Danio rerio: one gene and its partners. The protein of the gene in region 1 purifies or fractionates together with the protein of each later gene. This does not show direct contact. Links are inferred from orthologs where the notes say so. Each region holds a gene or a part of one and is shown in the gene's direction. Other genes may lie near its edges.

Region 1 (4,374 bases):
CCAACTGACCCACCTGAGGCTCGAACCAGCTACTTTCTTGCTGTGAGGCGATAGCACTGCCTACTGCGCCACAGCATCGTCTTCACTGTAAAATATAATAATTAGAATATTTGCTTCAAATACATTTATTTAAAAAATTCTATACTTAGATAAAAGGAAATTATATATCCATTAAATAATATCCATTAAATAGTTGTTAAACAGTAAGTTGCATCATTTGGATCTTTGAAAGGCCATTGAAAGAGCAAAGATAATATATCTTGTTTTATTTTTATTTATTTTTTTACATATTTGCGGATATTGCAATGAAAACTGGAAATGTCATTTTAAAAATACTATCTTGTTACCTAAATTACTTCATAGAGGTAATTTGTTCAGTGCAAAATTTCTGATATTTGTTAAGTTGAGGGAGTTTGATAAGTTTCTTTGAGCTATTAGCATGTACAGCGTGTGGCTCAATTTCATTTACATGCAAATATTATGCTAGAAATTCAGTCCTGTTACTTTCAGTCCTGTTACTTATAAGAGTTACAGGAATGAGTAACAATAATGAAAAGCATCTTCTGATACTTAATAGAATGAACAGTTTTTATTATATTATTCATCTGATTTCCACACGTTATGGATGGAAATGTTGAAGTTGTAAGATATTTAAAGGAATAGTTTTCTCAGAAATGACAGTTCCACTACATGACACACACACACACACACACACACACACACACACTCTCTCTCTCTCTTTTCACTTACTGATTTGGTTTTCTTGTGAAAACTTTTTTTCCCTACAATTTACTCAGTTAAGTTCTGTACATCATATACTTAAATGTTAAGTAAATTATGTTATAAAAAACATGAATTTCAGGCCACAGTTTTCTTGAAAAAAGGGAAAGTGCCTTTGCATTCCTATAAAAATACATTTTTTTATGTAAATCGTGATTTTTTAAATACAAAAATCAAATGTTTGAAAGTGTAACAAACCATATTTTAAAAAGAAAATCACTTTCTTAAGAGGAAAACAAAGTAATTACCTGATAGACTTTTATTCATGCTTTTTAAAAGACTCGTTAGTTTGGGTAATATGACTGAAAAATGCATTCATCTGCCACATAATACCTTGTAAAAACTCAAATTAAGTCATTTTATGTGGACCAATACATATTTTGAAAAGTTAAGTATGTGTGTTATTAGATTCCGCCTTGAAAAGTAATTAAAAGAAGTTTAATTGTAAAGAGTTACAATAAGCAAAATGCATCCATTCGGTGGAATGGTCAATAATTACTCCCATGCTAATCACCATACTCAACTTTTACAAGCGATGGTCAAAATTAGATATATAATCCAACCATTTTGACCCAAAGTGTATTAAAAGACTCATAATAAAGGTACCTCTTAACTCTGTCGTTGTGTTGAAAATACTACGACCAGACTACGACACAATACTGCCCCCGGTCGTTATTCACTCAATATTACCCTTTTTCCCATGTCTTCCCATGTCATGCGCATGCGCAGTACAACGTGCGTCCATTAGTAGCATCGTTCGCTGCTGGTTTTGAAGCAGGATGAACGCGCCACCAGCATTCGAGTCTTTTTTGCTGTTTGAGGGAGAAAAGAAGTAAGTGCACTATAAAGCTGTCTTTGCTATTCAATTATACTAACATATTATACTAGCCTATAATAAGAGTAAATATTCAGTTGGAAGACAGGAGGGAGATTCAAAAGGCTTTAGCTTGTTGGCTAACGACAGGTTACGTTAGTCAGTCCATCTGAAAACAAAATACAACCTACTTCTGTTTACAGAGTGCTTTATACAATACAGCTTAAATCATATCGACGATTGATTCATTCACTATTTAAGTTTATTGTTCATTATTTTTGTATAAACGAATACAATTTCAGATGCTAAGCTGTTTGAATAAGACATGTAATACCAACATTTAGCTCAATTAAGTTTAAGTTGGTTAAGTGACCTTGTGAATCTAAATAAAAGTATTCGTTTTTAGACGTACTTTAGGTCATGATACCATGACATTTTTTGAATACCATGTAAATACCATAGTACATGTACAGTAATTGGTCTCAGCATCAAATTAAATAACAGAGGTAATACGTAACGTTAACATATAAAATTTATGCAAATAAGGTGTGCTTTAATGTTTTAAATAACTTTTAACTATAAAAATAAGATTGTCAAAAATATTAGTAAAATAACCTTCCATATAAATATGAATATATTTTTTAAAAAGTAAACCTTTATTGTAATCTACATTGATTAAAATATGCAGTAGTAAGTGCTTAAACTAAATTGTTTTGCCTTGTAAATGCCTCTTTCTGACAGATATGCTTGACAAATTTAAGTAAAATTGGTTTTGTATTCGCACATTTGGACTTTCTCCTTAATATAATTTCAGAAAAGTTTTATTTGCAAATTCTGAATAGAGAAATCATTAGCAGCCAATGACTATCAAAGTACAACATTGTTCAGTCAGGTAAATAGTACTTATGTTTTTGAGAAGTCATATTTGCAGGCTATTTTAGACTGAATATTCAAAGCAGTGTGATAAACAATATATGCACAGTGTTACAAGGTTTCACTGTTCAAAAATTACCAAATGTCTGAATATAAAACCAACTTTACCTCAATGCTTGACAATACTTTTTGGCATAAAAAAATATTTTTGCACTGAATGACATTTAAGTGAGCATCTTCTCTTAATAAGGGTTAAAATTATAGTAGGATAAAAAGATGATAAATATGATGATAAAGCTTATTATATTTTGTATATTTACCTAGAAAAACATTTTTCATCTCTGATCTACTTAACAAAGTGACATATTACTGCCAACATTGTACCATGATACCACAGGGTCTGCGGGGTCTTAAGAACTATTAAAAGTTGATTAATCAATGTAGAGAAATGTAAGGCCCTTAAAAAGTATTTTAAAATCCTAAATGCTATTTTGCAAGGTGTTAAATTTTATATAATTTTGATTGTGCAATGTAGGTATGGTTGTATGCTAAAGTTTGCCTGAATTAAATCTAAATGTCAGGATGCTGTGTAGTTTATGAAATCAATGAAATCCTGCTAGATTTGACATCATGCAGTTTTGTTTACTGCAGTTATCAAGGAAAAACCATTATTTCTGCAGTTCTATAGGCACCAACCTGCTGAATTAGCTATATTTAATAGATTTTAATTCAATATAATTATGTATATCAATATGTAAGTTTTTTACATTAATATTTAATAAATATACTGTAAGTTAAAATCTCTTTATTGTTTCCGATTGAAATCTTAAGTGATAATAAGGTCTTAAGGTCTTGTATGGAGAGAGTCTTAAAGGTATTGAAATTCACTCTCTGGTTCCTGTATATACTCTGTACCAAAACATTACTATTTTTAAAAGTAAGGGATTGCCTAAAATTTCTGTTCAACTTCTTTTTACAGGATCACAATAACCAAAGACACCAAGGTGCCGAATGCATGTCTGTTTACTCTAAATAAAGAGGATCACACACTGGGAAACATCATCCGATCGTAAGAGACCAAACTTTTGATACACTAAAACATTTTCAGATATTTATGTGGGTTTTGTAATCATCCTATATTTACATTAGAGCAATTCCATGCAAATGTCAACCTTGTCATGAAAAAGATTAGGTTTTAACTCTGTGGTTAGTTGTTTTGGAAAATATAAACAGATGTTTCAGTATAATGTTAACACATACTTTCTCTGTGAATGTGTTTTGAGATCTTACTGCAAATGTCACATTTGTAACATTGGAATTGCTCATTAGGCAGTTGCTGAAGGACCCCCAGGTGCTGTTTGCTGGATATAAGGTTCCTCATCCTCTGGAGCATAAGGTTGTGATCCGCGTTCAGACGACACCAGACTACAGTCCTCAGGAAGCCTTCACTAATGCCATCACGGATCTGATCAGTGAGCTGTCCCTGCTGGAGGAGCGATTTAGGGTATGTTCATGTGTTTGCATTGAGTAAAAAATGATTCCAGAACAAGCGCTCCTGAAAAAAATGCACTCTATAGCAGCACTGCAAAAGACAATTGAGGTAAAGTTGGTTTTGTATTCACACATTCAGACGTTCTACTTAATATTATAATTTCAGAAAAGTATTATTTGCAAATTCTAAATAGGGAAATCATATCAGCGTCCAATGGCTTTCAAAATGCAACATTGTTCATGATCAGTTAAATGGTGCTAATGTTGTTTTAAAGGGCACCTATGGTAACAAATCTACTTTTCAAGCTGTTTGGAAAGACGTGTGTAAGTAAAGTGTATACACCGTCATATTGGGGTGATATAAACACACCCAGTGTTTTTTTTTTTTTTTTTTCTTCAATTTAACAACATAAAAA
Region 2 (3,579 bases), on another chromosome or scaffold:
AAACAGGCGTGTACGCTTTGACTATTGAGCTTCACTTTCTTTTCCATAGTTTGATATCAACTTTTGACCTTGTGTTTCCCCTTATGTTAAATGCATCTTATGTTAATGATCAGGTCTGTTGTGCTGTTTTCAGGGTTGTTTGGTGAGCGCGAGCGGTCAGCATGTCGTCTTTCTCCGAGTCTGCGCTGGAGAAGAAACTGTCTGAACTGAGTAACTCCCAGCAGAGCGTCCAGACTCTGTCTCTGTGGATCATTCACCATCGCAAACATGCAGCGCTCATCGTGCGCGTCTGGCACAGAGAGCTGAAGAAGGGTGAGAGAGACACTCATTCACTGAAGCTTAACCCGGGTCAAAAATGGCCCATATACTTACTTTTCTAAAATGACCTTAAACATTTATTGTACATTGTCTTTTTTCATGAAGGCTGTGCACATTTAGAGTACAACAGTTGTCCTTTGGGTCTATTTTGACCCGCCAGCTATAAAAAAACTTTTACTCCACAGAAACTACTAGCACACACTACAACACACACACACAGAGTAGCTATGTTTCCATCCACATATTTCTATGCAAAGTTTGGATATGTGCATAAAAACACTGGTTAATGCAAACACCAAGAGGCACATACATTTTGAAAATGCGAATAAAAAACCTTTGCGCATAACTAAGTCGAATTAACTTTTATTTGATACGAAAAGATGCGCAATAAACTAAGATGGAAACGATTTTATGTGCATAAAAAAGTCATGTGATTTTGATATATGAGATCATGTGATGATAAAAACGTGTGTGAATGGACAAACCATCAGGCGGAGCACATTGTAAAACATCTGAAATGTTGTTTTGGTCATTCTAAAATGCCCTAACCATCTCAGTATTAGCGTTATTATATTATTAACCCTTGTATGGTGTTCGGGTCTGTGAGACCCTTTTCGTTTTTTTTTTTATTTTTTTTTTTTTATTAAACAATGAATTATTTTTTCAACCTGAAGTTCTTTGGCTTTGGCCTATTTTCTGTGAAGATCATAATTCCGAACAAATTTTCAATGACCGCATAATGTACCTCCACCCAGACATTTACATTACATACAAGGTGTTCGGGTTCACTAGACCCAGGTATAATAAGGGTGCTTTCACACCTACACTTTTGTTTCGGAACCTGTCTTGTTTGCCCAGTTAGTGCGGTTCGTTTAGCATATGTGAATCCACCAATCGCTCTCGAGTCCGCGCCAAATCAATCGCTCCGAGATCGCTTAAGTGAGGTGGTCTCGGCTCGATTGAAACGAACTCTGGAGCGGTTCGATTGCAGTGAGAAAGCGATCCGATCCGAGCGCGGTTATATCACAGTGTTTTATGGATATGTAATAGGCTTACGGCTATATGAAGAGAGAATTATGAGTATGGCGGGAACTTTTGCGAGTCTCCGGATGCCCGCAAACGAGTGATGATCTCCTGGCAATCTCGCATCTCCCTCCCGGTCCTCAAATAGGCTACGTCGCGCACCCTTCTCACCCCTCCCCACCTCATCTCTCCTTACTCTTCAGACACGTCGCGCGCACCCTGTCAAACACCACCAAACCACCACCTCTCCTGACAGCTGAGCGGGACGCTGCAAAATAAACCCTGACACTCTGACCAATGTGAGGAGAGTTTACTCGCACGTGACTTGTTTTAGCTCTTTTGGTCCGATTAGTAACTTTGCAGTGTGAAAGTGAACCGCTCCAAGAGCAAAGAGCAACAATGTAACAATTGTAATCCTTGTTTAGAACAACTGAATCGATTCACAGGTGTGAAAGCACTCATATCCTGTCCCATCTGCGAATTAGGGGCATAGTACTATAAATAAGACTTTGCCAGTGTGGTTCCTTATCAAAACTGATCAAGATGGCCAAAAGATTATCTGCTGCGAAGGCCTTGCAATTGATTGTGGAAGAGAGAGAGGAGCTTCGGATGATGATGTCCATGACCATTGTGGGAACAATACAAAAAAAAATCTGTTGGTTTTAAAAAAAAAAAAAAAACGAGAAGCACATTAATTCATCAGTATGATCTAACAAAGGTAAATGGCAAAAATTAACCATGTTTGCTGTGCATATGGCTTGTAATTGGGATTAAGTAAGCATTTGTTGAGTAGTTTAACGTCTCCTCCGACGGCCCGCACTCATATAGCATTCACGCCTGAGCACGCTTACGTCATCGATGATGCGCTCTTTAGTTTAACAGAAGAGAAGCACTCTGGGGAGCTCAGTGGTGGTTGCTTTAGTTATTGCATTAAATGGTTCGATATGCAGTGACACACAGTCAAATATTTCGCCTTATTTCGACTTAAAAGTCTTCGTGCGTCACGTATTAAAAGGTTTGCTGGAGGTGCAACTGTCGTGCAGTGAGGGGTTTAATAATCTACAATAGTTTGTGTTCATTAAACAGTAAGAATGATTGATAAATCCATATGAAACAGTCCCGTAAAAGTCATGTCTCGTCTTCAGTTTGGAGCTCAGGCGCACTTTGCACTCGCACTGTAAGCCCAAATGAACTGCGCTCTAGCACACCTCTTCCATCCGGGCCAGGGCTGGCCAACTGAATCATGCCTAAGGCCGATTCAGAACACTCACACTTTTCAAACGATCCGGGAAACGGGCCTGGCATGGTTCAGATACACCCATACTCTCTCACATTCATATACTCGTATACTACAGCCAATTGAGCTTGTTCAATTCCCTTATACCACATGTGCTTGGACTTGTGGGGGAAACCGGAGTACCCCGGGGAAACCCATGCCAACACGGGGAGAACATGCAAACTCCACACAGAAACGCCAACTGACCCAGCCGGGACTCGAATCAGCGACCTTTTTGCTGTGAGGAGACAGTGCTAACCACTATGCCGCCATAATTATCATCAATCAAGCTAAAAGATTGTGTTTGACTCTGTTCAGTCAGTGTTGGTGTTTTTTTGTACAATGAACGTTTATTAAGAAGAAACCGATATGATTGCATGTTATATATTGTATATTTAGTGTGGGTTTAGCTAATGCTGCTTATATGGCATTAAAACACTAATAAATAAAGGTAATAGTGATGATGTGTTTGTTTTTCAGCTAAAAGCAGCAGGAAGTTGACGTTCTTGTATCTGGCCAATGATGTGATTCAGAACAGTAAGAAAAAGGGTCCAGAGTTCGCAAAAGACTTCGAAGGCGTCCTGATTGATGCCTGTTCACACGTGGCCAGGTAAACAAACCCTCATTAATGCTTTTTGTTGTTCGTTTTCAAAAGCATAGATATAGTTGAAGTTATTCGCCCTCCTGTGCATTTTTCTCAAGTATTTCCCAAATGATGTTTAACAAATTCAGGAGTTTTTCACAGTATGTCAGATAATATTTATCCTCTAGAGAAAGTCTTGTTTGTTTTATTTCAGCTTGAAAAAAAGCAGTTTTTAATTGATTTAACGCCATTTTAAGGTCAAACTGATTAACCCCTTTAAACAATATTTATTTTGGCTTGTCTCTAGAACAAATCACTGTTATACAATGACTTGCCTGATTACCCTAACTTTACCCTAATTAACCTTGTTAAGCCTTTA
Region 3 (3,503 bases), on another chromosome or scaffold:
GCATCAATATCTTATATCTTACTAAGAGTATTTACTGGGTATGTACGATGTATAATTCAAAATGAAACTTATCTAACATGTAATTAAGTAGCTATTTGGGATGAGCCATATTTTTCAGCAATCAACATCAGAAACGAAAGAATTCCAATAAAAAGTCACATTTGAAACTGACACAATTCCATGAAGAAATAAAGATCGTATTGATTTGTTTGAAGAAGCTGCAGAGAAACAAAATTTTCCTACCATTGTAGTAGATTGCAGAAACACTTTGATTGACATTCTCCCTTTGTACGTGTCATCAAAGGGGGGAAGCCCCGCCCACTAGTGCCCATCTCTCCTTCATTAACGTAAACAGCAGCCCTGAGTGAGAAGCAGCCGTCTGTCCATTAACCAATAGAGTTATTATAGTTAATGAAAAACAAAACAATCATTTACGTTTACTTGAAATAAAAATAAAAAACAAACGTTTATAAAAAACAAAAACGGACTGAAACTGTAATGTGAACACATTAAACTGACTGAAACTAACCATTCGTTTTCGTCTTTGTGAATGTATTTAATACATAAGCCTACTGTAAGCCTTTTAGAAGTGAATATTTACTTCGCGCTGCAGGTGTTTGACCCGTACAGCACCTCAGAATCTGTAATACTGCTGCCATTGGCCAGATCAAGCCTGTCCTTCTCCAGTCATCCTCACTATTGCTCCTGTGACAAAAACAATATACATATTGATATGATGTATTGTGCATTATTGATGTTTAATAAACATACTTTTCAATATTCTAGATAGAAAAATCCAAGCCAATCAAGTGTGGGACGTTTGGAGCCACGTCTCTCCAGCAGAGGCATCTGGCCACCGGAGACTTTGACGGAAATCTTAACGTTTGGTAGGAGCCCGCTGGATGTGGTTATGTTTGTGGTTATCTATTATGTTGTTATTTAAAGTGCAGTATTGCGTAATCTTTGCTCTTCAGGAATCTGGAAGTGCCCGACAGCCCGGTGTACTCAGTTAAAGCACACAAGGAGATCATAAACGCCATTGACGGAGTGGGAGGACTGGGCATCGGGGACGGGGCTCCAGAGATCGTCACTGGAAGTAGAGACGGTAAATAGGCGGATTTCTGCAGACGAGAAATCGCATGCAAATGTCAACAAAGCTTTCACCCTTTCTAAGTGTTTTGCAATTGTGTAAACTACTCAAAAATGTCTCTGTCGGTGTTTTCAAACTATTATTTTTGATTTACCAAAGCCAATTTCACATCTGTCTCATGCATAACAGAGAGACGTCACATCCATAACCAAGCTTTTTCCTCATACATGCAAAAATGTCATGTAAAATAAAATCAATCATGTTTGTTCTACCGTATATTGAGACAACTCTTCTCCTTTTGATTAGCATTCTTTCTTTTGGGTTGTGCAGTTTAATTCACTGAATGTCTACAAAGCATGTTGTATTCTGTAAACTCGCAGACTTTTTTTGGTCACATCCATAATGCATGATTATTTCCCTCATTAAAAATATAAAATATGTTTACAGATTGCTATTTGTCTGATCTCATAACTCTTTAGTGAGTTGTTTTGGTACACATAAACAGATGTTTCGATATAATGTTCACATATACTTACTCTGTGAATTTATATTTCGAGTTTTTACTGCAAATGTCACAACCATAACGCTGGAATTGCTCTGATACACATATTTATAGAAAACTGACTGCGCTTAGAAATGTTTGCGCTTCGGATTTTGATTGCGTGTGGTTTTATTAATAGGCACAGTGAAGGTGTGGGACTCCCGGCAGAAAGACACGCCGGTGGTCAACATGGAGCCCACAGAGGGAGAAACCAAGAGGGACTGCTGGACGGTCGCTTTCGGTCTGTGATTGTTAATCTTGCGTTACACACACACACAAGAGTTAGTTCATGAGTTAATGTTTTATTCTTTTTCAGAGTTTTACGTTTGTTTGCCCTTCTTTCTTTTCTTTTTTTACCAACAAATTAGAAATGGTCATACAAATCTTTTAAAGCTCGTCTGTTTAAGTGGTCATCAACTGGTTTTGTTATCGACAGGACTCATATTTTCCCGGTTTTCTTTTTCCAATTTTCCCCAAATGATGTTGAACAGATTCAGTGTTTCCTCTAATATTTGGTCTTCTAAAGAAAGTCTGATTTGTTTTATTTCAGCTAGAATAAAAGCAGTTTTTAATAGTTTTAAAGTCATTTTAAGGTCAATATTATTCGCCCCTTCAGCAATATTAGTTTTGGATTGTGTGCAGAAATCAATTCAATTCAGCTTTATTTGTACAGCGCTTTTACAATGTAGATCGTGTCAAAGCAGCTTCACATAAATGGTCATAGTAACTGGATCAGGGTGGTTCAGTTTTTACTGTTTAAGAACAAACCACTGTTATACAATGACTTGCCTAATTACTCTAACTTTACCCTAATTACCCTAGTGAAGCCTTTACATGCACTTTAAGCTGAATACTACTGTCTTGAAGAATATCTAGTCTAATATTATGTGCTGTCATCATGGAGAAGAGGAAAGAATTCAGGATTTGATAACCCTGGCCTCCTTTACACCTTATTTATTTACACTTATTAAGATTCAGTTTAATTAATTTAATCACAATCTCAAGTCTGGACACGCATTTGAGCCAGTTCACACGCTCACACACCACAGCTTTTATTTCTCACGCTTAAAAGTCACCGGTCCCTCCAATATTGACTGAAGATCAGCATTGGGTTTTCTTTCTTTTTATGTGTATTTTCAGGGTTTCTGCAAGTTTCACCAAGTCAAATTTAAGCCTTTTCAAGAGCATCAATAATGAAATTTCAGACTTGTATAGGGGTAAACACTACTGATGTTTAAAAACATTTAAAAACTGTAATTACTATTGTTTAATTAATTATTTCTTAGCCGCATATTTCATATAATGTGCCTCTAGTTCTATACATACTGTTTTTTCAACAAAAACTCTTTAAATCTTAGGAAACTAAAGGCATGCACAACAGACTGTTATAATATTAGTTATAAACAGAGATTTACTAAATGTTTTGTATGTGTTCTGACTAAAAAACACAGAGTAAATCTCACACTTTGCCTTGCTTTTTTTCCTCTAGGTCATGCTTTCAATGATCAAGACCGCTGTGTGTGCGCTGGATATGATAACGGCGACATCAAGCTGTTCGATCTTAGAAACATGTCTTTACGATGGGAGAAGAACATCAGAAATGGGGTGAGTGTTTATAATATTCAGTGCACATTTTTAAAGGCCTCCCAACAACAGTGGATGCATTTAAACAGAATTATGAAAATATATTATTATTATTATTATTATTTCCCAGAGATGGGAAAAGGCTGGAAGGGCATCCTCTGTGTAAAAGATATGCTGGATAAGTTGGCGGTTCATTCCACTGTGGCGACCCCTGATTAATAAAGGGACTAAGCTGAAAAGAAAATGAATGAATTATTATTGTTGTCTTTTCCAGGTGTGCTCTGTTGA

Evidence for each region. Proteins that work in one complex are often made in the same cells at the same time.
Region 2: the proteins of polr2j (region 1) and rprd1b purify together in Homo sapiens (affinity purification with mass spectrometry; 3 studies listed by BioGRID and IntAct, counting the BioPlex papers as one, with this or other methods). This does not show direct contact. The link is inferred for Danio rerio from reciprocal best matches to the Homo sapiens genes POLR2J and RPRD1B.
Region 3: the proteins of polr2j (region 1) and dnaaf10 purify together in Homo sapiens (affinity purification with mass spectrometry; 3 studies listed by BioGRID and IntAct, with this or other methods). This does not show direct contact. The link is inferred for Danio rerio from reciprocal best matches to the Homo sapiens genes POLR2J and DNAAF10.

Annotation. Positions count from the first base shown.
Region 1 is NC_133180.1:67,353,693-67,358,066, forward strand, and holds the start of polr2j (DNA-directed RNA polymerase II subunit RPB11-a), read left to right. Parts: upstream 1-1,523; 5' UTR 1,524-1,559; coding exon 1,560-1,612; intron 1,613-3,446; coding exon 3,447-3,536; intron 3,537-3,796; coding exon 3,797-3,971; exon of another isoform or gene 3,972-4,374. UniProt on the Homo sapiens protein: Core component of RNA polymerase II (Pol II), a DNA-dependent RNA polymerase which synthesizes mRNA precursors and many functional non-coding RNAs using the four ribonucleoside triphosphates as substrates.
Region 2 is NC_133198.1:46,861,829-46,865,407, reverse strand, and holds part of rprd1b (regulation of nuclear pre-mRNA domain-containing protein 1B), read left to right. Parts: intron 1-133; 5' UTR 134-161; coding exon 162-312; intron 313-3,097; coding exon 3,098-3,227; intron 3,228-3,579. UniProt on the Homo sapiens protein: Interacts with phosphorylated C-terminal heptapeptide repeat domain (CTD) of the largest RNA polymerase II subunit POLR2A, and participates in dephosphorylation of the CTD by RPAP2. Transcriptional regulator which enhances expression of CCND1.
Region 3 is NC_133188.1:1,040,910-1,044,412, forward strand, and holds part of dnaaf10 (dynein axonemal assembly factor 10), read left to right. Parts: intron 1-786; coding exon 787-887; intron 888-974; coding exon 975-1,105; intron 1,106-1,770; coding exon 1,771-1,872; intron 1,873-3,120; coding exon 3,121-3,236; intron 3,237-3,489; coding exon 3,490-3,503. UniProt on the Homo sapiens protein: Key assembly factor specifically required for the stability of axonemal dynein heavy chains in cytoplasm.